Linked DNA regions of Neodiprion lecontei. The protein of the gene in region 4 purifies or fractionates together with the protein of the main gene of each other region. This does not show direct contact. Links are inferred from orthologs where the notes say so. Each region holds a gene or a part of one and is shown on either strand. Other genes may lie near its edges. The genes, in order: cullin-2, ubiquitin recognition factor in ER-associated degradation protein 1, E3 ubiquitin-protein ligase Topors and UBX domain-containing protein 7.

Region 1 (7,367 bases), on a different chromosome or scaffold from region 4:
CTCCGATTACAAGAGCGAGATAATAATTAAACTGATCAGAACTTTTCACTAACCCAAGGTGTGGAATAATTAGATGATGACTGTAACGGTCACAATGATATTAATCACGATTGGCTGAGATAAGATTAGTACAATATGTAAAGATTTGAAAAATCTTACATTATTAAATTTGTATACGCGTTAAAATAGCGATTACTAATTTATTTAGCATTATAAGCATTGTGTGATTTGACTTCTTAAATGTACAGTGAGAAATTTCATTTCGTACGTGCAGCACAAAGTCGCCTTCAATTAATAATTAGAAAACAAATTAAAAAGGTTAAAACAAAGATCAACTGATAAATATAAGTATGAATATACATGAATAGGCGGACTTATGCTCTGCCTCACCGTCTATTACTGAATTTTGAGACCAGGCATGGATATGAATATTCTGTCTCTTGCAGAAGCACTTTGTACAGGAGCAACAAAAAAAGAATGAATCTGTTACCGAAATCATTAGACCGATGATAAAATAATAACGGCATCTTTATTGGTTGCGTATATATTACATTTTACCTAATCAATTAATTTACTTTTAATCGGTTGAGGAGTAGTTAAGTTTCTTACGTTACTCCCTGGCCCTGTTTCATTGTTACAATTCAGCTGCATTAACTGGGCTGAATCTCATTTTCCTTGGCAGATAACTGACGTGCGATTACAATGCAAGATGATTCTTGTGTAACAGAGAGAGAGTGATGATCACATAGTTACTTGCTCCTGCTGACAATGAATCGCTTTACGTTGCGCCGTAGTACGCAAGACATACGGGAGTATCTTATTACTTGAAATAAATTAGCAAGGTGGATTGGAGCTAGGTTACGCAACGTAAGAATATTCGTCCGAACTGTTCGCCGTACGCTCGATATATTGTTTGTCAATCAGAGCCTCGATGCATTTTTTGATCATTCCAATTGATGGAGCAAAAGTAATTTTCGACTGACCAAGAACCTGTAACAATAAAATATATGTAGATTATTTGCTGCTTTGACAAACTTTAATCTTCTGTTCAGTTGTTGGAATGATTGTCCATGTTATTAATAAGAGTTATTGTCATTGTTGTTCAGATAAAAACATTTCAATATTGTAACCCATTGTAGCGGTAACGAATTAGTACGAGTTAGATTTTTCTTGTAATTAGAATATTGTTCTCATAAAAATAATAATCATCCACCAAAGGCAAACCAACGTCAATGATTTGATATTTGTTTTACGAATTTTTTTTTACAACGACTCTATTCAACGCATCAAATCTTACCTCTTGCACAAGTTGATTATGTCGCAGGAGTTTCCGACTCTTCATTATACGTACGATGGCAGCCTGGAGGTAAAGCTTACGATCGTGATCGACGCTGCGGTGAGTGGTTTCTGCATCTTGGGGTCCCTCCCGTTGAAGAGCGGCTGTGACCCGGAACTTCGTCCGTTTATTCGAGTAGTCCAAGTTGAGCATGAGTGTCGTCTCCTCGCCAAGTTCGCCATCGGGTGATTTCTTCAAAAGTTTACAGTCTATCAAGCTGACTACGTGTTTCTCGAGCTGTTCCTGAGACACACCAAGGGACATGGCAGCCTCCTTGCAAGGCAACGTATCGCATTGTTCGAACAACAGGAGTAGCGCCATTTGATAAGTTTGTACGGTAACCAGATACGGCCTTTTCAAGTAATTCAGCTTCAGTTCACCCTGGCAAAGAGGGTGCAGCCAGGTGAGCTTACGCCCACTGAATTGAGCGTGGTAAAAGGTCTCGAAAGCCTGAATGGACTGCTCTAGCTGCTGCGGAACGTGAAAAGGACCGGGAGCGGGAGGAAGACCGAGCGGCCAGGCACCGGCCTGAAGAACATAGACTCCGAATCCGATTCCGAGTTGTTTTTGGCCCTGACCTTCGCGTTCCCTCAGATTGGATGAAAACTTGGTATTTAGATCAGCGGAGACAGACATGTCGGTAAACATACGGTGCAATTTATTTGTGAATTCATATCCACATGCTTGTTTTAACCGGTCTATCATAGCTTCCTCCGCATCCATTGACTGCGACTGTTGATGGATTAACCGCTTGGCGAGCATTCGAGCGTAAAACTTCTGGAACACGTCCTTGTCGTCTACGTACTTGAAAACTGTTATCGACCGGGCCAATTTCTCCTCCACGTCGCCTTCTGTTGTTCCTCGGGATGATTTTTTCAGCAGGGAGTCACAGTACTTGGCCAACTAAAAAAATGCCTATTAGTTTTACATCTGGATACACAAGACAAGTCCCTAAATCACGTTTGGAATGCGTTGGGAAAATTTACCAGTTCGGCAGCACGTGCTGGCTGACGAGAAGCAGGCTGATGGTTAACGACGGCTGAACAGGCCTTATCTAGGGCGCTAATGAAAGCTTGATCACCTTTAAATACAGCCTTAATGAGCTCATAGTATTTGGTGTGGACGTCCAGCATGCTTTCCACGAATTGCGTGTGAACCTAAATGAATGAAAATAGAAGATCTTAGTATCATAAATCGTGAATAATATTGACTGATGAAAACTTGCGCTGTTGACTTTTTACTCGGAATGTATGTCAACCTTTGATCGCTTTGGAAATGCTCACATTGTCACCTTGGAGAGTTCCGATAGCTCTCAAGCCTTGCTGAGTGATATGCGCTGTAAGTTTTCGAATAAGCGGCGCCAGGCCTGATGGCAATGGCCTCAGCAAAGGATAAAGAAAACTGAGATCCCTTCTACGCTCATTTTCAATCATCACATCGGCTTCGGTGTGTAACCATGACAAGTGCGCGGCAACCATTTTCTCCTGACAGCACTGTCGCACCTTTAGAAATCATTACCAATTGAATATTATTATTGAAAGTAATCTAATATTATTAAAGAGACGTGTTGTGAACATCAGTTTCAACTTATTTATTAATACGTGCTTCACCTTTGGAGCTGAACTACTATGAAGGAATTTTTGGCAGCGTAGTTCTTCCTGACTAAACCTCCAGCTCACTTGTTCCATGTAATAAGATACATCGGACTTTTGGAGCAGCTCGGATGCTTCTCTTGCGTAAAAATTTCCACTATCTTCGAGGAAAGGTTCTTCAAAAATTTGCTGATACAACTACAAGGATACGATACGTGAAGAAAAGAAGAATATTTACTGAATTTATAACTGGGACGAAAAACGGCGAATATTTACTTTGCAAAAATTTGGATCTCATTGAAAAATACTTTTGAATATAAATTAGTTTCACGAACATGTAGAAGGAATGTAAAATGCTTTTGCACGACTATTATTGTCGGTAATGATACAGGTATGAAACAACTTTAGCTTTGCAAAGACTAGAACAACACCGGCTATTATTTATTCTTTCCAACAATATGATATTGTTAGCAATCGCGAAAAAGCTGAAATAAATTCTAATAAAACAAGAGATGTTTATTGTACGTACATCTAACTGGCCTTTCTTTTTGTATTCTTCCACACGAACAAAACTTTGAATGACCCCACAGATAACGTCAGTGGTAGCATGTCGAGCTTTTCCCAATCGGTCGCCATGAATTCCTGCTAGTAAGAGTGATACCAAAGATTCCTTCAAGGGAGTAATCATCTTACGTTTCCAAATATCCAGCCCAAGTTCTCCGATCTCCATTTGCTCTTGGTAATCTGCTGCGGCAGCGCACGATGCCCCGTATATTATTTCTGCCTCTGTTGTCTTTTGCTTTTTAATGTGTTGCTGATTGAGGTAGAGATAGAGTTGATGAAGGTAATCGATTCCCTGTGAATACTCTGTCCATGCACTGTGATATGCTTGCAGAAGACTTGCGTCCCCTTGTTTGGAGACCCCCAACAAAAGTTCTGACACATGATCGTCGAGAAAGTGCTTGGTTTCATCATATAGTCTATCGGCAAGTGGTTCAGGGTAAGCAACACACAGGGAATACACATCGCTGTTGAAAAGATTTGTTATGCAATATGCAAAGCCGAATTGATACTTGGTTCTAAATTTTAGATATAAATGTACGTACGTAAATCTGTCATTCCATGTCGATCTGGGGACATCGGCTAACGTGATGACTCCTTTGACAGTTTGTTGGAGAATATCCCAGGTTTGAGAGAAGTCTACCCGTTTTGGTTTCAGCGACATTCTTCTTTATTATTTCCGCTTACCTTTTCCAAGGTTCAATAATATCAGGATGTTTCTCAAGGAAATTCTTTTATGCTAAGTATCGGGATTACAAATGGCAGATGACAGCTTCAGCTGCGAGATATCTAAAAATGAGAATAATGCCGTGGTGGATCATATAAAACGAGGTATTCGAAGGTGAGAACGCAGTTTTACTATTAACTATTTTGTCAATATTCGAACAAAGTACCTGCTGTATAAATACACAATTATGTTTATGAATTCAAACTCTAAGCAGAGCAAAAATACAGGAAATGAAAAGAAAACTGTATAGTGTCTCGATGCCGTTCATGTCTAAAAGTCCTATGTTTTCATTTCGTGAGCCAAGTTGCGAGGTCAAAACATAATAGCTATAAACTACACGCAAGTGCAGAGTCATCGCTGCTTTCCTCCATGTTTCAAGCATCAGTGACATATCTCATTTTATACTTCAAACCATAACAATGAATTACTTTAAACAATCCTGATCTACATCTGTCTTAGCTTGATATATATGCTAGCTCACCAACAAGTACTGTCACATTAAAACAAATGTATCTAAATACACAAGCTTTCTATATGTATAACCGTTTTTATGACTGAAAATTTTTTCTTCAAAGTGATTAAGCATATGTGTACATTTGACAAATAGAGCGTCGCATTTTGCGACATATTGTTATATGAGAATTTTGAAAAATTTCTGCTGTGATAAAGATTTCTCTTAAATGAGAGAATAATTTATACTTACAGCTGTTATTGAATCAGAATCAATGGAGATGAAAGGAATTCAAGGTTACATACGTCTCAAATAATTTCATGCGTTAGTTTTTCCCATTGTAGACAAACAGAAAATTGAAGAAGAAATGAGAATTTTCATCTATTCTCAATTGGCAAACGGATTTTCGGAATTTAAAGGTCCTTGGCCGTTGGAAGTTTCCAATATATCCGTATGAGTAATGGATTATCAAGGTAACCAAAAAACATAGTTGTTTGATATAAATAGAAGGGTTTGATCGAAAGGAAAGCTTGAAGTTCGGGTACGCGAATAGAACAGAATTTCAAGCAACGCGATATAGCAGCGATTATAATTTTGAAAATATAGTGAAATTTCATATGAGTGGACAAGTCATCCCCTTGTTGCAAAATAAATGACATTTGAAATGCGTGATTCTGGAATCTGGGGAGCCAGTTCGTCGAATCTTATAACTTGCGCGTCTTACATACGTATCAATACAGCGGAACGGTGTTGGGTTAATTCCTTAACTAATCGAACCACTCATTCATTTCCAATCAACATGTACAGCCAAATAATCTACCTTAAACTTTTCAATAACATTACACGGCCATTATTTTTTTCTTCCCAGTTAATCCAAAACTAGGGGCGCGGGGTGTCTAGAAAGTTTTTCCACAAAGTACGGGATGCCCTGAAATGTAGTGAGGCATTCGTTCCTCAAATCACCACCAGAGTCAAGTACCGCGGCTACAAATTACGATGTAAAATGGGTCTCACCAGATCAGTTAGTTTGTGATTGCGAGTTGCTGAGGCGGCACGATTGCTGAACGAAACAGCGTCCTGAGCATTCCCAACAACCAGGCCAAAGATATTCCTTAGAAATGGTAAGAATTCCGATAAAACCAATAAGTCATAAGTCATTTGATTAAACAGATAATTCTTTTTAATCACTGCAAGATTCTATCGTATGCAGTGTTTAGTTTTATTTTTAGGTTAGGTTTATGTCAAACCGTGCATCAGATGACACTGCATATTTGTGTGACAGAAACTATAACCATTCTGTAATGAATTAACGTACCTTACATTCCCATTAATGTTGAGAAATTTCTGAGCTTACAGGGTATCTGAAATTTTATAACTTCATATCAATTGTTTTAGAGTATCTTGGCATACAACGGAGGTGCTATCATAGCGATGAAAGGCAAAAACTGCGTCGCCATCGCTGCGGATCGTAGATTTGGGGTACAAGCTCAAACGATATCATGCGACTTTGATAAGATATTTGAAATGGGTCCACATTTATACTTGGGACTGCCTGGTCTAGCCACAGATACCATTACTGTCATGGAGAGACTTAGATTCAGATTGAACTTGTACGAGCTCAAGGAGGACAGGAAGATTCATCCCAAAACTTTTAGCTCCATGATCTCTAATTTACTGTATGAAAAGCGATTTGGTCCATACTTTGTCGAACCGATTGTAGCTGGCCTAGACCCTGTCACCTTTGAGCCATTTGTCTGCAACATGGACTTGATTGGCTGCCCGAACGAGCCAGAGGACTTTGTAGTTGGTGGAACGTGTACAGAGCAGTTGTATGGAATGTGCGAGGTCCTTTATGAGCCTAATTTGGAACCTGATGATCTTTTTGAAACTGTTAGCCAGGCTTTGGTCAACGCTTGTGATCGTGACGCTATTTCTGGATGGGGTGCAATCGTCTATATTATGTAAGTAATGTATTGCACAGAATGTGATAAAAAAAAATTTTCAAGTTGAAGCTATGTCGACATGTATATATATATGTGTATATATATATATATATATACACATATGTATATCTACAAATAAAAGCTGCTAGTTGAAATTTTACTAAACATTCTGATGAAGTGGTGAGAAAAATCTGGCATTCTAGCAATACTGAAGCCATTTACTAATGCTACACTTTTCTTTTCAGCGAGAAGGACAAGGTTACCATACGACACCTGAAGACGCGTATGGATTGAAGTGATTCAGGCAAAATTCGTAAATCAACATTCTTTATTAAACTGTATGGTTAAGCAAAATGAAAAGAAAAAAAAATAATAAACAAAATGATTTATTACACTTTTTTGAGAAACAATTGGTTCATAGTATTCTGTAATCATCTTGCCTTATATCAGTCAAATGAATTGTGTTATGTCTGATTTCAGCAATTCACTAATGACCGCAAGTTTTTTGTCAGGGAAAACAATATTTGGGTATTGAGCGTGTTTAGTGAACTCATTTCGTTGGAACCATCCCTTTTTATTTTTCCTGTACAATACATTTACAGGATATTTTTGCTTGACATTACTATTATTTTGTAACTGGTCCTAATTGCTCGGGCCTAATTGGTTGCTCATTCGGGAATCTTAGCGGAAACACTCTTCTCTGTTGTTTTTGAACCGGTCTTTCTTTTGCTTTTTCAAGTTTTTCCATTACATATTT
Region 2 (4,880 bases), on a different chromosome or scaffold from region 4:
CATAACCCTTCAGTTTCAATTTCTCTCATTTGACGAATGACAACATTTTTACACTAAATAAAAACTTGTATTCTTACACAAACATTACGTGCTCACTTGAAATCTGTTTCAAATCACTCCAAATGAAAGCTCCATAGCTTTTTACTCTAGTATTATGGGCATTTCATACCACCGATGATTCGTAAAATGTATAAATTTCGTATGTTTGTACACCTTTCTTAATTAATGGATTGAAATAATTAGAGCTGAAAAAAAGTTATAGATTCCGATTATCTTAGACTGACTTTACCGGTTTTCAATTGGGAGTTGATTGATATTAAAAATACATCGATTAATTAAAGCCAATTAAATCTAATATTACCTAGTATAGCACGATTCGATCATAGCTGATTCAGCTGGGTTCCCGGAAAATTTTGTTATTATGCTGGAAAATTACTGGAAAACTGAACAGTGACGTAAATAGAATGGCGCAAATTCACGACACGTTTCGGTTCACGGTGCTTCTTTAAGCTACTTCTGATAATTTTTATTAAGAAATTAAACATATTAAACATGGACTCAATGGTGTAAATCGGATTTAATGGACGTAATGAGTGGAAATTCGAAAATTGTTTTCTTCTGGCAAACCCAATTATAATACACATGCTTTCTGTACTATGTCCGAAACTATATACAAGTTACAGATGTAGTAAAAGTTATAGAAACGGTACTTTATCTATAAACAGTTTCTTCAAAAATTAATAGGAGTATATAGATAAATAAATTTCACAGTCATAATTTCATTTTTCCTTTCCTCACTCTTTATTATCACACGCTATTTTCTCGATTTTCGCAAAGAAAAACCTTCACCAGTGAACGCCTTGAATTCGTCTACGTCTTTACTCTGCAAAAATACTTTAGTTTTACTTTCATTCCTATACATTGAAGTAATTTTTTTACAAAATACAATGAATGATAAAGCAATTCCCACCTCTTTATTATTAACCGGCTTTGTAGTCCGTAAAAATTTCAGCGTTCCGATTTTATAATCATAATCCGGTATTCCCCTGACGTATATTGGTTTGCCAGAGCTTAGTTCAGGCAGCGAAGAATCTTTACGTTTCTTTCCATCCAATCTATTGCCCTGTCCTTTAAAGGCAACGAATCCTAGCGGAGCGGGCATCATATCGACGGGGTCTATTGTTTCTTCTTGGGGTTTTATCACTCTTTCTGGCTCTTTGTAACCGACCGGTGGCGCGAATTCAACATTCATATCGCATTCGATAATACTGACTGCTGGGCCAGGCCTTGTCTCCAATACACACATTTCATATATCCTTTGATTATACTTTATTGCAATAATATCCCCAGTCGTAAGACAGGCAAAACTTCTCAGACCATTTTCTAAGACTGCTCCAGGATTCGTAATGTCTAAAAAGTCTTCAGACTGCGGTTGGAATCTCGAAAATGTAGCGACTGGAAGCATTACGCTTTCAATATTCAATATTTCACCCTCTTCCAATAAAAGGTTGTGCATCATCTACAAATCATAAAAATATGGTCAGCTCCTTAATAAAAATAAATTAAATATACCCAGCTCAATATTACTGAAAAGTCCTTCAGAACTTTGAATATAGGCACATATTTAATCTCTCGTCTTACTATACGTAAATGAAACTATAGCAGTCTGAACAGATTTGAACTTGTGTGACTGAATGGCATGAATATATTTCCCCCAAACGCCACATTATTAAATGCAATCACACAGTTTAAAGAGAGTGATTTGTACTTGTTTGCATAAATTTTTAACCTGGATCTGAGACGAACAGCTTGAGGATTAAGAAACTGGATATAAAGTTTTTTCGACTCGAGAATTGACAAATTTTTTAGAATCTAGATGGCATCAATTGTGAACGATACATTGACTTAGCAAGTCAACGAGCAAAACTTGATGCACCTCGTGTTTTCAAGCAAGACTGTGCGATTTTGCTTGCTCATTTGTATAAACTCCAGTAAAATTTAATTTTTATAACTTCAATACATACCCAATATGGCAAATACACTTTCCCCTCATCTGCGACAAACTCCAAAACACCGCAGTGTGTAATTCGATTGGATTTTTTGTTAGTTAGTTTGAAAAGCATTGGATAAACGATATTGAGTCTCGTCAATTGGTCAAGTGCCGAAGGAGGCATGATGACTGAAAAGAATAGAAGCCAAAATATAACAAATGTCAATTATGACAGCGATACAAAGAACACTGGCAATCGTCAGCTTACTTTTTCCGCCGCGTTCCACATCTTGCCGCTCGGTCCCAGGGATCATCGAGACGGAAAAACATTTGTATTGGGTATTAAAATGCCTCGGTATGTCGGGAAACATGTTAAACCCAAACTGAAAGTTGAATGTCTAATTTTTATTTGTATAAACATAACCTCATTGTACAGTAAAGCATTCGTATTTTTATTACTTAGTTACGTGATTTAGGTGTTTCATACAACAGAAAAGATCTCACCATTTTGACGAGCTTCTTTTTGTACCCTAACTATTATAAATACAATAATCAAGAGCAAATTTCTGCAAAAAATATATAACCCTGAAGTCGCACGACATGCGAGTCAGACATCGATATGAGCCAAGTCATGTTTCAAATTTCATTGCAGAGTTAAAGTTGGGAAATGCGACAGTGTTAAAGAGAGACAAAGCGTCGCACAAATTCTCCGAGCAACGAGGACGTAAGATGGAATCGCATTGCGCAGGGTCCGTTTTTCGGAACGCAACAACCGTGGACACGGAGTCTAGATACAAGGAAAACGATCGACGTAGACTGTTCGGCTTTGTTTGCAGCTAGAAAAGAAGGAAAAGATCGTAGTTTTCACAATAACTACCAGAATAGCACTGATAACGTAACAGGTTCATGGGTCCGACTCCTACAAGCCAAGTCTTTCCGTATTATAGCCACGGATTACACGAATGAGCAAGAGCGCGAACCTTTCGCACTTGTGCTGAGAACCAAAAGGGTTGCTCGGAACAGTAAAGAATTATGTTGGCGCGCGGGTTTGATAAAAGGGTATAAGAAATACGCGTGGATTTAAAAGATCAGCACACACCTTAGAGGTACAGCACAAAGAAAAATTCCAACGAAAATGTGATCTTATTATGAGTTGATAAAAGGTTTTTATTTTATTATTGGCATGGATTACCGTAAAAATAGAAAAAATCGGCCTACCTCTTACCAGATCCAATATTGCATACAGGCCATTTTTATATTCTCCGCGCTTCTTAGAAAAAAATACAGCTTTTCATGGATGAACCATGTAATTTGTCGATAAATAGCGTGAGAAAGTCTGAGAGCAGTAAAAAAAAAAGATACAGCTGCATTCTGAATAATAGTCTGCAATCATGGTATAAATTTACTCTTTTACCACATGCTGAGTTGGATTTAATCAGTAATGTAATTAATATTTGTCACGTTAAAATAACAGCGTAGTAATATACCAGTCTTTTGCTAAATCAAGGAAATTGAGTAATGTATAGCAAAAACAAATAAGCACAATGTAGACACAGTTTAGAATAGATAAATGACAAAACAAAATCACGAAACATTGAGAGAACAATCACTATTTTGAAATTTAGTAACTTTGTAGAAGTCAAGTTTTCAAGATGTTTGATAATGAAGTATTGCGGTTTACTTAACTTCAGACACAGTAGGAGCAGATCCTGATTTGTTGACGTATATCGGAGCATTATGACAACGGGAGATCATTATTTGCTACCCACGTAACGAATCATATTTGACTTATTGTCAGCAAAAGATGAAGACTGATTATGAGAACGTGTTTGAAGTCAATAGTTCACTACATGCCAACCATACGTTCATACATGTTCACGAGGTAGTTAATTTACAATCAATAGTGTGAAACTCGACTGTAAACTGACCTGACGCAATAAAAAATATCCTCAAAGGAATCTTTGAAATTTCGATATTTACCAAGTTTTTTGTAATGGACACTCGATATGATGAATTCCATACGATATCTAATTTTTGTTTTGGCATCGTCTTGATCTAGACGTTTTTGAGAACATTCATATGGATGATACAGCTTTGACTTTTGGCTAATTGACAGTACTTATCACATCTCAATCACCATTCTGCCGACTTTTTGCCATCTCTAAGTCAAACTTTTCACTTGTTGAAATTATCACGGCTGTAATTAGTCAAATGATAGTCGACAGTTCGACAGATATGGTACCTGGGTAAAACACGCCTACAGCGGTATAACTTCTGGCGGTCAGACATGCTGGGGTATTTATTTTTTATGAACGATATATTGGTATGCAAATATTTTTCGTTCTTATACAATTAACAAGTGTGTTAATAAATGTAATAATCCTTGTGTTACCTCTTATGATAGTCGAGGCAGTTAAATTGAGACTCCTTGGAAGATTATTCTTTCCTTTTACTCTGTGGGTTCATTCATGTTCAATTTACACTCTCACCACCTAGATGAGACGCAGTAACAGCATTTGAACCAGCCAAAAAAGCCAAGTCAAAATGACAATAGAATCTAAAATTTCTTTTCGTAAATATTATTGTCATTTATACAACTTACGTGAATCCCACAATTTCAATGAATGAATATAAGAAACCAATAGTACCATACCGTAACCGCACTATGGACAAGGTTTTTTTTTTTTTTGATCGTGCTATTAATCGGAAGATCCCGATGTACTCGTATTCGCATAGTTTTTGATCATTTTAAAGTGGTTTTTTTCATTGATCTTTTAAACTCAGTACCTCAAATTTTTTTATCATTAAATAATTTTAATTTCTCCCTTTTTACAACATAAAGCCATTCTAAGATATAGGAGAATTTAAACTGTTGTCGTCCTTGTATATG
Region 3 (7,085 bases), on a different chromosome or scaffold from region 4:
GATTTTATCCTTCAAGAGAATGCGTTTCTGTTTGTATAATTCTGTCTCGTCGCCGCACGTCATCGATTAATAAAGCAGGGAGCTTATCACTTTTGTATCACTTAGAAAAATAGAAGTATTGAATATTGCCATTACTTATACTCAATATTACTAACGTACGTTTACGAAATTACGACAGTTTAAACGCATGGTTTACTACTGAACTTTAAGGCCACGGATCACTAACAGGCCAAAACTGACAATGAATTCGGGAAGGCTCGAAAAAACAGGAATAAAATTAATTAGAAAAGTTGCTCCGACGTACTAAAAGTGTGCTCAAACATATTTCAAATAGGACTTTGAAATAGTGTGAGAAATTTTTTTGACGTATCGAAAATTTAACGTACATTTTTTTATGATTCACGGAATTCTTTCATTCAATTCTGAGCAAAAAAATGATTCAATTCGAAAACGTGTTATCGTTGTATTTTTTTTTTTTTTCGTCCGTATTTACTGCATAAAAAAGAAGAGGGTGGGGGGGGGGCCTTTAATAAAAATAGAACATAGGTGTAAGAAACGTTCAATTACTCTCGTGAATTGTGTATTCTATGATCACCCTTCAATCAATTATTTCCATAACGTATATCTATGAATTATGCAGGTCCTATTTTTGCTAGCGCACGCTAGCGTTGGGAATTATTATCAACAAGATATTTCATCTAGACATGATTTGTGAGAGTTAAATCTTGCCGCGCACGAACAGAGAACTGAACGTTAATGAACAAATTTGTTAATACATGTTTTATTCCGAGTCAGAGCTGGAGGACGATCTAATACGGCGTTTCTTTTTCTTGGACCTTGATTTAGATTCGCTCTTAGATCGTTTATGAGACTTTCTGGATTCCTTGTATTTTTTGTGGGATCTACGTCTCTCCTTAGAACTCGAACGTTTTTTAGAACTGGCATATCTAGATGAAAGAAGTGTGTCACTTCTAATGGATGAAGTTACAGATGCCGTTGAAACACTTGGTGTGCAATTGTCATCGGCCTGGAATGAATCTGTGACAGTAGCAGCAACAGTCTTGCTGTCGGATTTGCGACTTCCCTTTTCTTTTCGTCTATCCTTGTGTTTTGATTTTTTCTTACCAACATATGCTTTACTCGACCGTGCGCTGCAATAGCTACTTGAGCGACCATTCAACACATTCCTCTCAGAATCTGTCGTGCTGTAGTCGACTTTAAAATTAGCTTCTGTTAGTTTTTTACTTGACATCCCATTGTCTTCAAAAGAATTATATTCGTCGCTTTCACGCTTCTTTACTTCTCGCTCGGAATCTGAATCCTTGATCGAACGATATCTCTTCGATCCACATTTCTTGTTTCTACAAGATCTATGTTTGGGAATACTGGTGCTTCGTTGAGAGGCATCGCTTTCTGCACAATTTTCACTGCACCATTCTTCCTTTTTAACTAAGTCTTTACGAACTGTTATCATATTGGATATTGCCGATTTCATTAATTTGGATTTACCTTTTGTTTCCTGACGTTTTTTGTGCCGGTCTGGACTAGAATCATTCCAACTTGAAGAATATTCTCTCTTGTCACTTTCTGGTGATATTGACACGGGTTTGAACATTCCATCTATGATCCGGCCTTCAGATTCGCTGCTACTTGAAATCAATGCTTTAACACGACGCTTTATTCGAACAAACATATTCGTACCCCGCTTGTACTTTTGACCATGTACAGGACTTGTGGCAATGATTGACTTCTTTGTTTTGTTCTTTGATCCGTTACCGCTGTAGGGAGTATAATCCCGATTAGAATCGATATCATCACTCTCCGACGTCGTTGTGTCAGAAAATCGTTTTAAGGATGCCAGAGTATTTTGAGTTGAGCTTCTTTTCCTATCCGTAGAAGTCGTAGCCTCGTTAACTTCGCTTAAGGTTGATACACTCGGCGAATCAAAAGGAGACCGATCTATACAATCTTCAAATGGTGGACATTGTTTTGTCACAACTTGACAGTTATGTCTAGTATGCTCGCTAAAAAATTGTATCAATGATCAGCGAGGCAGATATTCAGCATTAAGAAAATGGAAATTTCATATAAAATTCTAAGCAATTGGCGTAAGAGACACAAGACTCACCTATAGTCTAAATTGGGAGCATCAGGCACATTCACTGTGTCAGCATCCGATGATAATAGATCGATAACTTCTGGTGTTCTTTCATGCCGAGGCTTCACATACCCCACAACTTCACATTCATTATCTGATATTCCTGATGAGCTTGACGAAATTGTCAATACAATATTAGAAGTTTGTGCAGTTTCTCGGAGTGCTTCGGCTACTGTACTTGGACCTTGAGAGAGAGGAAATGCAAGATTAGAGTAAAGTATTACATGAAATCACAAAATATATGCAAGCATGGGCAAGGAAAAAATGTATTATTATTGAGTTTCCCAAAGACTGTGTTAGTCAAGGGTAGATACTTATGTATGTACTTAGTATTAGACTACATACCAGGCATCTCGACTGTATGCGGACCTATTCCGAGCATCTCAATATTCATCCGACTTGCATCGATAGTTTCTTCAACAACTTGAACATCTGAATCAGTAGATATGCTGCTGCTACTAGAACTGGGTGATGATACGACAGGGACATATTCGTTGGACAAACCTGCGACACATATGACATATGAGGATGTCCAAAATCAATTCAGGTATTTCCACAACTATTCTCCGACGAAAATTGTATACAATTTGACCTCATCGGTTATTCTGTTCGCCAAGTTAAATTCTGATACGGAAGTCCAAATGGCCATTATTATTCAAAATAATTTTACACCTTGATATTCACCGAAAGACGTGAAAGACTATAATCCAGTGACCAAAGAGATGTTTTCCATAGCTACAGATATGTAGCGGATTTTAAAGTCCAACAAAAAGCTACATCAATTGGGTAAGAATGCGACAGTAAAATTGTTCAGTTGAAAATCTTTTTAGTTATGTGACTATAGAATGTATAAATTTTGTTGGAAGAAGAGATAGAATTTGAATGGTATGAACCGGTGACATTAATTGGCGGACAATTTTGCAACATGCAACCTTAATCAAATATACTAACCACGATTTGAAACATAGGTAACATATTGATCATAACCAATCAAGTCAAAACTGGTCTGCGCGTAGTTGAGTAGCTCATGGACAAAGTGCTCGGTGTGCATGGCAAAGTAGGGACGAACTGTGTCTCGAAAGTCGGAACTTCTCAAGTCATGCCGTGTGATAGATTCCATGATAACACGCATCACGTAACTTATTTGCGGAGCATTGTTGTTAAGCAATACTTGCAGTTCGCGATTCAGCCAAGGAATCAATCGATTCAATTGGTTTGGGTTTCGCCTGTAAAATAGATCAATACAACACATGTCTTAGTATCCTGGTAAACATTGAAATTTAATAAAATTCCAAAACTAAGTATTTTGGACTTTGTATCTAAATAATTAAAATAATCTTCAGATTTGAAGTCATGGAAATAAATGGTAGGAAAAAGTAGGAATTCAAAATTGAAACTGTAATAATTCATTTTAAATAATACAAGTAAAATGCGAAACATAAGCAGTGTAACTTACCGATAGTATTCAGCACTGCATTCCCTAAAGTTTCCAAATATGTCTGGTAGAGATGTCGCCCAATGTCCAAAACGATACACATTGCGCCGATAGTCAATAGGATTAGTACGTCGCAGTCTTCGTTCCTCTCTAGTAACTAGTGACGTAACAGCAGGTAGTTGTTCATTCCTCATAACTTGTTCGGGATTTAAGATATTTCGGTATCGATGATTAGGTGTCATTGTTGTACTAAAACAGAAGGTTGTCAATAAAAACGATTTCTAGCATTCAAATAAATACGTTCTTGAACGACATGTAAATAGTTTTCTAGCGGGAACCAGGCCTTATTGTTTTGGCAGCATATCATATCCATATTAAATATATTGTAGGAACATGAAGTTTTTTCTGTGCAGAACGCTTGATTGTGATTTCAAAATTATTAGCTGCCATTGCCAGTAACCGACAACCAAGAATGAAGAATCTCTCTTTAGCTAACTTACCGGTAACTAAATCCATGTGTTTCCCTCGGCAGGTTTATACTGCTGACCAGATCAAAATGAACATCCACTGTTGCAGCCATTTGTGACGCAGACAGTGAGACAAACTGACGGGGAACATGATATTGATCATAGTCGCCCTCGGATCTAACATTATGTATGATGGATTTGAAAGTTTGTTTACACAGAGGGCATTCTGTTTTTATTTTCGACCACTCTAACAAGCAGCTGAAACAAAACTGATGCAAGCAGCTGTCGGTGAAAGATTTGTTGACGAGCTTGCCCAAGCAAATGCTGCAATTAGGTGGAGGAGACGTGGTGCCGTCACTTCGCTCGCTTGGTTCATTGTCTGGGCTACTTGGAGATATTTCTTCCGTCTTTAGCGGACCCTTTGGAATAGCAGCGGCGGCCGCACGTATGCTTTCTATTTCTTCATCCATTTTGCGTCAATTCTTTTCGTGGTCCATTGGTCCTTGCATTACCTTTTCCTGTATTATGCACACAATTAAAGATATTATGACCCAAGTGTGGATAGGTCCAGCAATAAATTACTTGATTTGAAAAATACGCAGTACTGGATGATGGAAATGCAAATATCTACAGATATTGTTTACGATTACTCTCTTTATACTGTAATGTACAAAGGGTATTGTATACAGCACAGTTGATACTATACGCGTAACTGCCTACTTATATCAATACAGGCAGAATCTTTTGGATTCCGAGGCAGAGAATATAAATATTCAAAGCCGTAATTAAATCCACGAAAATTTCAACTCCCAATCAAGCTGCCCTTGAGTAGTAGCTTTGACTGAGGAAAAGTTAAGTGATTAAAACTGTGGAATAGCCGAAAGGTAACGCATCACATGACATCCGCTCACCGTTAAAATGTTGCCTACCACCGAAGGAAATGCGACAAGTTACGTTGACAATTAAAACTACAATCAGTAGCAGAGATATGAAAGGGCTCAACGCAGGCACCGACTGCCATCATCGGCTAATTTGATCATAAAGCTCGCAGCTGTACCAAGGGCGTTAACTGGTTATTACTAACCAGCCAACCATCCGTGCTCCAGCTGCACTGCCAGTCGTGGTCACATGATTCGTGTGGAATTGAACTCGTATTTTGTTTCAGACCGAAACAAGATAGCCGAAAGATTAAAGCATTTATGCATTTCACTGTATTCATATTTACATACATGCATGCCGATAAAGCAATATGTCAACCGTTTAATTAAAAACAATGCAAACAATGGACTTTTAAGAATTCCCATGATTTAAGGAATTCCCTAAATCTAGTGGATTCTTCATACTTCAGTCCTCACATCATGATAGTCAACCGATTTGAAGTTCGATGGAAACGCAGTATTAACATTCGATCGTGAGCACCGTGAGCACGGTCAGCCCCACGGTCTTACATACAGGTCTGGAAACTCCATTGGAGGGGGTATGTCGCTTATTGAAGCAATTTCTGTGTTCACTAGTCGCCACTAGGTTCGTTGCGATCTTATCAACAGCGTTGGCGGGGCCGGGGGTCCAGACAAGGCCGTGGTATTCGCATATATGTATATGAGTATTCGCTCACTCACGCTCACTCATCGTATTTATTGAGATTATTGTTATCCTGGTAACTAGACCGCAGCGACAATTGGTGGTGCCGCTAGAATCGAAATTTGCACTCGTTAAGCGACACGAATAATCGTGGCTCCCAGCATAGGAGTTTCCAGACCTGTATATAAAACCGTGGTCAGCCCCTTGACACTCACCGCTGCTCGTATACTAAAAAATTGTACGCGTTTTTTCCCTATTTTTTAGTTCCTCTATATTTAGATAGATATAGATATATACCGATAAAATAATCTGCGCATCGAAGTTTTTGACAGTTCATAACTCAGTGTAAAGTGTGTAAACGGTGGATCATCTCCACAAGATCTAAAACTGTCTCAAAAGTTGTGAGCCCTCGCTTGATGTTTATGGATTTTATTGACTTAAACATTTGAGGATTTCGTTAAAATAAAACAATTATCACGCCCGCCATGGAATGCTAGTAAACATCTCAATCATTTTTTATTCGCATCTTTCTTCATTTTTGAGTGTTATTCAGGATTGTCGATTCCGAAAAAATTGGCTCACCCCGAGGGGGCAGCGCTGCAGACGGCGAAGACGAGAACCACGGTTTTGCCTCATTATCTGAGTCATTCCCCCACCCTACTAGCAGAGATGAGTAGGGAGATCTCCAACGCTCGGCTTTTCGTGATACCAGCTAAGTTGGAGCGTCGACGTGACACCTAGGCGGCCACGCACCGAAGGTGGCCCATTTCCGACCTGACATCAAGCGGCCATGCACCGAAGGTGGCCCACAATCGTGTATATATAGATACACTCGGCTGCTCGAGCAAGTGGTTGCCAATCGCATCCTTGTCCCCGCTCGCACAGATGTTTCCAGGAATGCAAGAATTGGGATTTTTTTTGTTTCAGTTATGAATGTCAGCGAATAAAAGTATCTCCAGATTTGATAAATCTTGGAATCAATTAGCGGACGCTGAACCAAATTAGTTAACTATTCCCAGTCCGAATACTTTTTTTTTTTTTTTTAATACATATTATTTTTTTATTGATATGAAAATATGTGACGCCTGGTATTCTCGAATATTTGTGCACGCAGTCTATGGAAAAATATACGAAGCCAGCTCGATAACATTTATGCAAAATGTGCAATGGGCAAGTGGTTGGGGGAAATTTTTTTTTTTTCTCGAACTGAATCTTCCAGAGAAGCATCAGCGAATTCCAAGCAAGCTCCATAAACATACCGAGCAAACGCGCGCTCACGGACGTAGCTGTGGTGTGGCTGAGTGGATACCACATGAGGATGAATTTTCAATCACAGGTTTTTGCGCGAAGTTTTCCTGTATTTAAGTTAATTACTGCTGCCTTTGCTATAATACTGTATTCAAGTCTTAAACAAAACACTAAAAAATAAGTTAACCACTTAATG
Region 4 (5,931 bases):
AAATAAATGAAGAAAATGAAACAAATAAATAGATCGACTATCGTCCTTGTTCAAAATGTTTAAAGTTAATCCGCGTTCCGCAATGCTTTATGGGAAGTCCCCGCGCTTACCAAACCAGAGCAGACGACTTATTTAATTCACGATAAGAAAGCTAGTAGCCGTATTTTTCCAACTTTACTCAAGCGCGATGCTTTCGCGCCTCGGCTCAATTTATTAATTAATAGGAATTTTTCAACGTCACGTGCTTTGTCATTAACTAAGAACTTATTCTTATTATGGAATTTAAATGAGAGTGACTTTTCAGTGAGCGAAATTCAATCGCCGCACGCTTCGTTGATCAGTAAACTAACTATGGCGGTTCGGATATCCCATTTATTCCGTAATAGATTTAAACAATTTTTTAAAACCTATAGTACAAATTCAGCTGAGATAAGCAAAGCTAAGGATCCTGAAGTGACGGAGCAAGTGAAGGAACGGCTACTAGATCGTTGGGGTAAGAACAGGTCATGTTAATTTTTGTTCGAGGTTAAGTTAGGTTAGGTATTTACAGGTTATATTATATTTATATAAATTTGACGAAGCAATTCACAGAATATAGGGAGATCGGGTGTTAGCTTAGAGTATGCGAACTTGTTCGATAATCATTCGATAATTGTCACCTGTTTTATTTTCATTGTAGCAAAATATTGGAAGAATCTCTTCATTGACTACAGAGATGTGGCTAAGGATGTTGCACAAGGATGTAAGGATCGGCCTATTCGTGCTTCAATCTATTTCTCTCGTAAGTGAAAAATCATATTTCTTAATTTCCCGCAGTGAAACCTGCTGGAATGAGAGACAACTTAGTTTTTTTTTCTTTATCTTTATGATCTTAGATGTATCACTATACTTCTTTGTAAAGGATTCGCAGCTCATAAAAATACATGTTTAAGCCCACTATAGCTGCTCATCATTAGTGCAGATAACACTAATTATTGCAGTGAATCAAACCAAAAATACAAAAGAAAAATATATTTATTTAGAGTCAGAGGAGCCAGTAAATGTTCTGTATTCGGTATGAAATTTTCGTGTGAATTGGTTTATGTTTCAGTTCTAGGCAGTGTATACTACTTTTCACGACACAACCCTAGTCCAGATTCGTACAGAAACATGTTGATAGAAGAATCAAACAAGATGATGATGGTTGGAGAACCAATTCGGAATCGTCAAAGTGTAAGGCATTTGAAATCGATAGAACAGTGCTTCAATGAAGGGATCATACGCAGGTTGAGCTTGGGGATTGTTTCTTTTATATGGTTGGATAACTACGATAAAGAATGTGCTCACTACAAAGCAACATGTTCGTATCTCAAACCACAGTATTTAGGATTTCATCACAGAATAGTTGACATTGGTTTCATGGATAAGTGGTGGCTACTGGAGGACAAAATGACTGATTTTGATATAAATGAAGAGGAATTTAAAAACTTCTCCACTTCGCCAGATAAAATCGGCTCATAATGAGAATATCGAATATTATTGACGGATAAAATTACAAATATTAATTATTATAATAGTATTTATACATATGTACATATAGAAGGTTTATTCATTGAATAAATGTGCCTTCACACACAAGTATGGTAAATTTTTTTAAACTTATATATGCACTATTGATACTTTGGGATCGAAAGCTGGAATTTATTAGAGAATTATATTACAAGATGATGGAAAAAGAACGTGGCGGAATACTGCGCTTGAAAAAGATTCGAATGCTTCGAATTCATTAATTTCTGATAAAGTTGTAAATAATTTACTATTATTGGCCTATTCTGTTAGATCTAATCAAAAACTCGCGTGAAGGTAGTTGAAATGAAAACGTTATTTCAAGATATTTTCAATGAATTGTCCAACTCTCGTCAAAAGTCTCATCTAATTTCATGAACGGTGTAAAAAATCCCAACAGAGTTACCTTCTTATGAGAATATTCATGGTCCATGATCGATTGTGGCAACGGTTGCGCAGCGGGAGATAGAGAGAGGAGAGGAAAGCTGAAGACAAAATAGCTAATGCCGGTTGACAGCCGCAGTGATCCGTGGCTGTTATAAAATTCGGTAAAAGTTCAAGAATTCAAAATCTGGATTCGAAATCGCATCGATCCGCGACCGTGAAACGATACCGGATTTAATATTCAAGGGAAGCGTTCTTGTACCACCGAAATTTCAAACAAACACGAAGACGATTTTGTTTTCTCATACAACAATCGGCGAATAACAGATATAGAATCCAAAACTAGAGCTTGATGTTGTAACAGGATGGATCGCGAACTGATTGAAAAATTCATCGAAGTCACAGGTTAGCCCAAAAGCGAACAGTAATAATTGAAATATCAATTTCATTATACTCAGTTCTATATTTTGCCGTTAACACAAATTCAATGCTTCAATGTGACTGTACGAACAGTTGAATCGGTAAACAAAGAATGCAGGAGTCCGTTTCTCTGTTTTACTTCACATTGAAATGTTTATTTCCAAAGAATTGTATTACAGTAATATTCTACCCATTTTACTAGCCTTACCAGCATAACACATTTACCATGGGTTTTATTTCAATTCACCCTAGCTGACCTTGATCTCATCTGACCTAATCTTGAGTTTCCCAAGTTTTCCTCACTTTGATTCATTCATCTAACCTAACTTTATCCAATACTGCCCTTTTTGTGTTAACCTAACCTAATTTGGTTTCAAATTATTTTCTTCCCTCTCTTTCATGAGAACATTTTTTCCAAATTCCAGGATCCAGCGAGGCTGTCGCCAGACAGTACCTCGTGGTGGCTGACGGCAATGTAGAGACTGCTATTAGCCTGATGTTTGAAGGTGGCGGAGCAGAGGCAGTAGCAGACGTAGACGGTCAAACTGAACCCCCAGAACCAGAGATCAGGCCGCCAATTCTACCTACTCGAGAAGTGTTGGTACCAACACAGCCCGTCTGTGCGTTCCCCAGAGCATCGAACAGTGTGTTTGATAGATTTAGGGACTTTGCGGTAGAAACACGTAAGGAACAAGAGGCTCTCGATAACCGGGACGGCTTTTTATCCTTATAAATCGGCGTCGGCTTACCTTATTTCATCGTACTTTTTAATTACCAAAAAGTTTATGCAAGATATGTTTGTAATACGCGATGCAAATATCATCTTGATGCTGAGAATCGGCGTGAAACATCAATTTTTAGAGTTTCCTTTTGAGTTACATGGATTCAAGTGAGTTTCAAGCTAATATGCGATGTTTAAATTGAATGAATTAACTGATGCCAGAACGCCAGGAGGAGGAAATGGCGCGGAGGGTAACAGGGGTGAAAAAAATGTCACCAAGGAAGTCCAAGCGCCTGGAAGACCTCTTCAGACCCCCTTACGACATCATGTTTTTGGGATCATTCATCGAGGCTAGGGAACATGCGAAGCTCATAAACCGATGGCTTCTTGTTAATGTACAAAATCCACTTGAATTCTCATGCCAAATACTTAACAGAGACCTGTGGCCCAATGAGCAGATCAGGGATATGGTCAGGGACCATTTCGTTCTGTGGCAGGTAATTATATCGATCGCATACTTATTATTAGGAAATTTAACTCATACTTGACCTTCCATCGGTAACAGAGAAAAAGAAATATTATATATATGTAGATCCAGTAACGGCCTTTAATTTTCTACTCATGTGTAACTAGCGTTTGCCATATCCTCAGGTCATATCTAACACATCTGACGGTCAACGCTTCATCGACTTCTACAATGTCACTGATTACCCTTATCTAGCTGTTCTGGACCCAAGAACAGGCGAGTGTGTCCGGACATACGACCGGTTTACGGTAGAACATCTAGTTTCAGGGCTAGGTGACATGTTGAGCAATCATCTATCCCCGGAAACTGCACCGCAGGTTCCTTCTACCGCTACAGACGACTGGCTATCATGCCCTGCAGGTTCCATGGTCCGGCGGTGCGATGTGCCTTCCGAATCTTCGGCAAGTGTTCGTATGATGAAATACTTTGGTGATCATGTTTTCTTTATGCTGCGAAAGGCAAGAAAGAAATTGATAATTTTCGTAAATTTTAATTTTTGATCTTAGGGTATGACCCCAGAAAGCAAAAAAGCCAGAGGAATTCGAGACACGGCCGTGGAATCAGGTAACAAATTAACTACACCAAGGCATCAATGAAATACTCTGTTGTCCCATCATAATAAGCCATATTGCAATCTTCCAGCTAACAATGAACGTGTCGATGCTGGGCCCAGCGCGAGTAACGTAATCCTTCCTCGTAGTGGCGTTAGTATCTTAGGAAAACGGTCGCGAACGGAGGAATTATCAAAGACGAAAAAGCACGAAATTCTACATTCTTTATTACAGAAAAAGGTACGTCTAACACTAGTTGCAAATCAGCTTACCCCCACATTCTCTCTGAACCTCTTTTTACTTTTTCCTATCTTGTCCCTTTGATTTCTTACCTCTAAAATTTGAAATATATGATTGCAGAACGGTGAACCGAGTAATTCTGAGCCCAACTCAACCGTTGTAAATTCAAGTAAGTATAAATAACTTGATTTTTCACCTCTTGCATAATTTGATCCACAAATTATTGAGTCTTCGACTATTTGTTATGATCGTTCAACAGATGACGAGCCGTCCTTGCGTTTATGTCTGCGACTGCCAAATGGGGGCAAAGAAACTATCTCTATGGGAGCTAGCGACACGATAAAAGTAAGTCTTCAAAGAGTATAACCTCGTTTTGATTTTTTATCATTAGAATACAGTGGAAAAACTCAAAATACGATCCATCGCGAAGTTCTTATATCATGACATTTCTACTGCTTTTTTTTTTTCCACAGAGCTTCCTGGGCAGAATGGAAACTATGGGTTATCCGCCTTCGGAGCACACGTACCTAGTTCCATTTCCTAGGACAAATATTGGGGCTCTTTCTCAACAAACTCGACTGTCAGAAACTATTCTGTTTCCTTCAAATACCGTTTTTATAACAAAAATATAATTTGATCCCGTAATGTGGTAATTCAAGATTTGAGGGGAAAAAAATCGCAAATGATACTCCCTTGCCAGCGGTCGTTTGTATTTATTGAAAAGAAAAAAGGAAAAAAATTCGTCTCGTATCTGTAATACTTGCGCTTTTAAATTTTTCGTTACTCTTTATTCAGTTTATACATATAACTGAAAAGTTCTAGACACTTTTAACCGTTCTTGATTAACTTTTAGCAATGTTCAATATACCAAAAGAAGAATCGCCTCGTGTAAATAATTTCATGATCAAGGCTGAACAAAGTTAACTGATTCTCAATAATTGCAGATCTACTAATTGTTTTAATCATGTCTGAAACCAATCCAAATAAAAACAACCAATCGAATTTTATTCCATTGGATCTACATTTAATTTGGCGTTAGTCCAACTTTTACTTTCAATCCTTATTCGTATGCGATTTCAATTGGTAAATTTTTATAAGTACTAAAGTGAACCATTTATATATTACTTAAGAAAATGCAAAGCCGAAAATTGGTAAAACTGAACACTTGTACTTTATCAGTAATGAGCATATAAATCGAAAACAACTGTATAATTTGCAAAAATTCGTATTTGTAATTCATTTTGTTCCCGAATTATACAAAATAACAGTGAAATGTTTCACGAACAAATACTATGTCATAGGCTCAATTAGTATGTCACGTCGTAACGTACGTAAAAAGTATAATTGACGAATATATATTATATCTAATTAAGCCTAGTGAAAATGATTCGAACACTAATTTGAAATCGTACAAAATTGAAATACAACAAAGTCAATACTGCCGTAAGCCTCCACGTCGCATCATCGGCTGTGACATTCTATTCGGAGGGGTAATAGATATGTCCAAATAATCGCCGATCGTGAACCTGAGGAAAAAAGTTGCC

The links.
Region 1: the proteins of UBX domain-containing protein 7 (region 4) and cullin-2 purify together in Homo sapiens (affinity purification with mass spectrometry; 6 studies listed by BioGRID and IntAct, with this or other methods). This does not show direct contact. The link is inferred for Neodiprion lecontei from reciprocal best matches to the Homo sapiens genes UBXN7 and CUL2.
Region 2: the proteins of UBX domain-containing protein 7 (region 4) and ubiquitin recognition factor in ER-associated degradation protein 1 purify together in Homo sapiens (affinity purification with mass spectrometry; 3 studies listed by BioGRID and IntAct, with this or other methods). This does not show direct contact. The link is inferred for Neodiprion lecontei from reciprocal best matches to the Homo sapiens genes UBXN7 and UFD1.
Region 3: the proteins of UBX domain-containing protein 7 (region 4) and E3 ubiquitin-protein ligase Topors purify together in Homo sapiens (affinity purification with mass spectrometry; 4 studies listed by BioGRID and IntAct, with this or other methods). This does not show direct contact. The link is inferred for Neodiprion lecontei from reciprocal best matches to the Homo sapiens genes UBXN7 and TOPORS.

The regions. Positions count from the first base shown.
Region 1 is NC_060263.1:14,614,413-14,621,779, reverse strand, and holds cullin-2, read right to left. Parts: upstream 5,625-7,367; 5' UTR 5,488-5,624; exon of another isoform or gene 5,396-5,487; intron 5,368-5,395; exon of another isoform or gene 4,920-5,367; intron 4,680-4,919; exon of another isoform or gene 4,383-4,679; intron 4,279-4,382; 5' UTR 4,154-4,278; coding exon 4,035-4,153; intron 3,957-4,034; coding exon 3,458-3,956; intron 3,127-3,457; coding exon 2,947-3,126; intron 2,839-2,946; coding exon 2,620-2,838; intron 2,494-2,619; coding exon 2,323-2,493; intron 2,240-2,322; coding exon 1,298-2,239; intron 991-1,297; coding exon 859-990; 3' UTR 511-858; downstream 1-510. Other genes in the region: proteasome subunit beta type-3, read left to right, coding at 5,786-5,788, 6,063-6,628, 6,856-6,904; uncharacterized protein LOC107224358, read right to left, coding at 7,236-7,367.
Region 2 is NC_060262.1:24,099,220-24,104,099, reverse strand, and holds ubiquitin recognition factor in ER-associated degradation protein 1, read right to left. Parts: upstream 3,051-4,880; 5' UTR 2,498-3,050; coding exon 2,495-2,497; intron 2,374-2,494; coding exon 2,259-2,373; intron 2,180-2,258; coding exon 2,025-2,179; intron 1,520-2,024; coding exon 971-1,519; intron 884-970; coding exon 815-883; 3' UTR 502-814; downstream 1-501. UniProt on the Homo sapiens protein: Essential component of the ubiquitin-dependent proteolytic pathway which degrades ubiquitin fusion proteins.
Region 3 is NC_060260.1:41,193,979-41,201,063, reverse strand, and holds E3 ubiquitin-protein ligase Topors, read right to left. Parts: upstream 5,135-7,085; 5' UTR 4,972-5,134; intron 4,883-4,971; exon of another isoform or gene 4,781-4,882; intron 4,579-4,780; 5' UTR 4,531-4,578; coding exon 4,094-4,530; intron 3,843-4,093; coding exon 3,615-3,842; intron 3,385-3,614; coding exon 3,110-3,384; intron 2,663-3,109; coding exon 2,504-2,662; intron 2,343-2,503; coding exon 2,129-2,342; intron 2,025-2,128; coding exon 782-2,024; 3' UTR 525-781; downstream 1-524. UniProt on the Homo sapiens protein: Functions as an E3 ubiquitin-protein ligase and as an E3 SUMO1-protein ligase. Probable tumor suppressor involved in cell growth, cell proliferation and apoptosis that regulates p53/TP53 stability through ubiquitin-dependent degradation.
Region 4 is NC_060264.1:30,478,630-30,484,560, forward strand, and holds UBX domain-containing protein 7, read left to right. Parts: upstream 1-1,980; 5' UTR 1,981-2,294; coding exon 2,295-2,334; intron 2,335-2,774; coding exon 2,775-3,032; intron 3,033-3,292; coding exon 3,293-3,567; intron 3,568-3,721; coding exon 3,722-4,003; intron 4,004-4,102; coding exon 4,103-4,160; intron 4,161-4,238; coding exon 4,239-4,387; intron 4,388-4,507; coding exon 4,508-4,556; intron 4,557-4,646; coding exon 4,647-4,732; intron 4,733-4,860; coding exon 4,861-5,019; 3' UTR 5,020-5,415; downstream 5,416-5,931. Other genes in the region: mitochondrial import inner membrane translocase subunit Tim29, read left to right, coding at 352-493, 680-781, 1,091-1,500; histone deacetylase complex subunit SAP18, read right to left, coding at 5,820-5,913. UniProt on the Homo sapiens protein: Ubiquitin-binding adapter that links a subset of NEDD8-associated cullin ring ligases (CRLs) to the segregase VCP/p97, to regulate turnover of their ubiquitination substrates.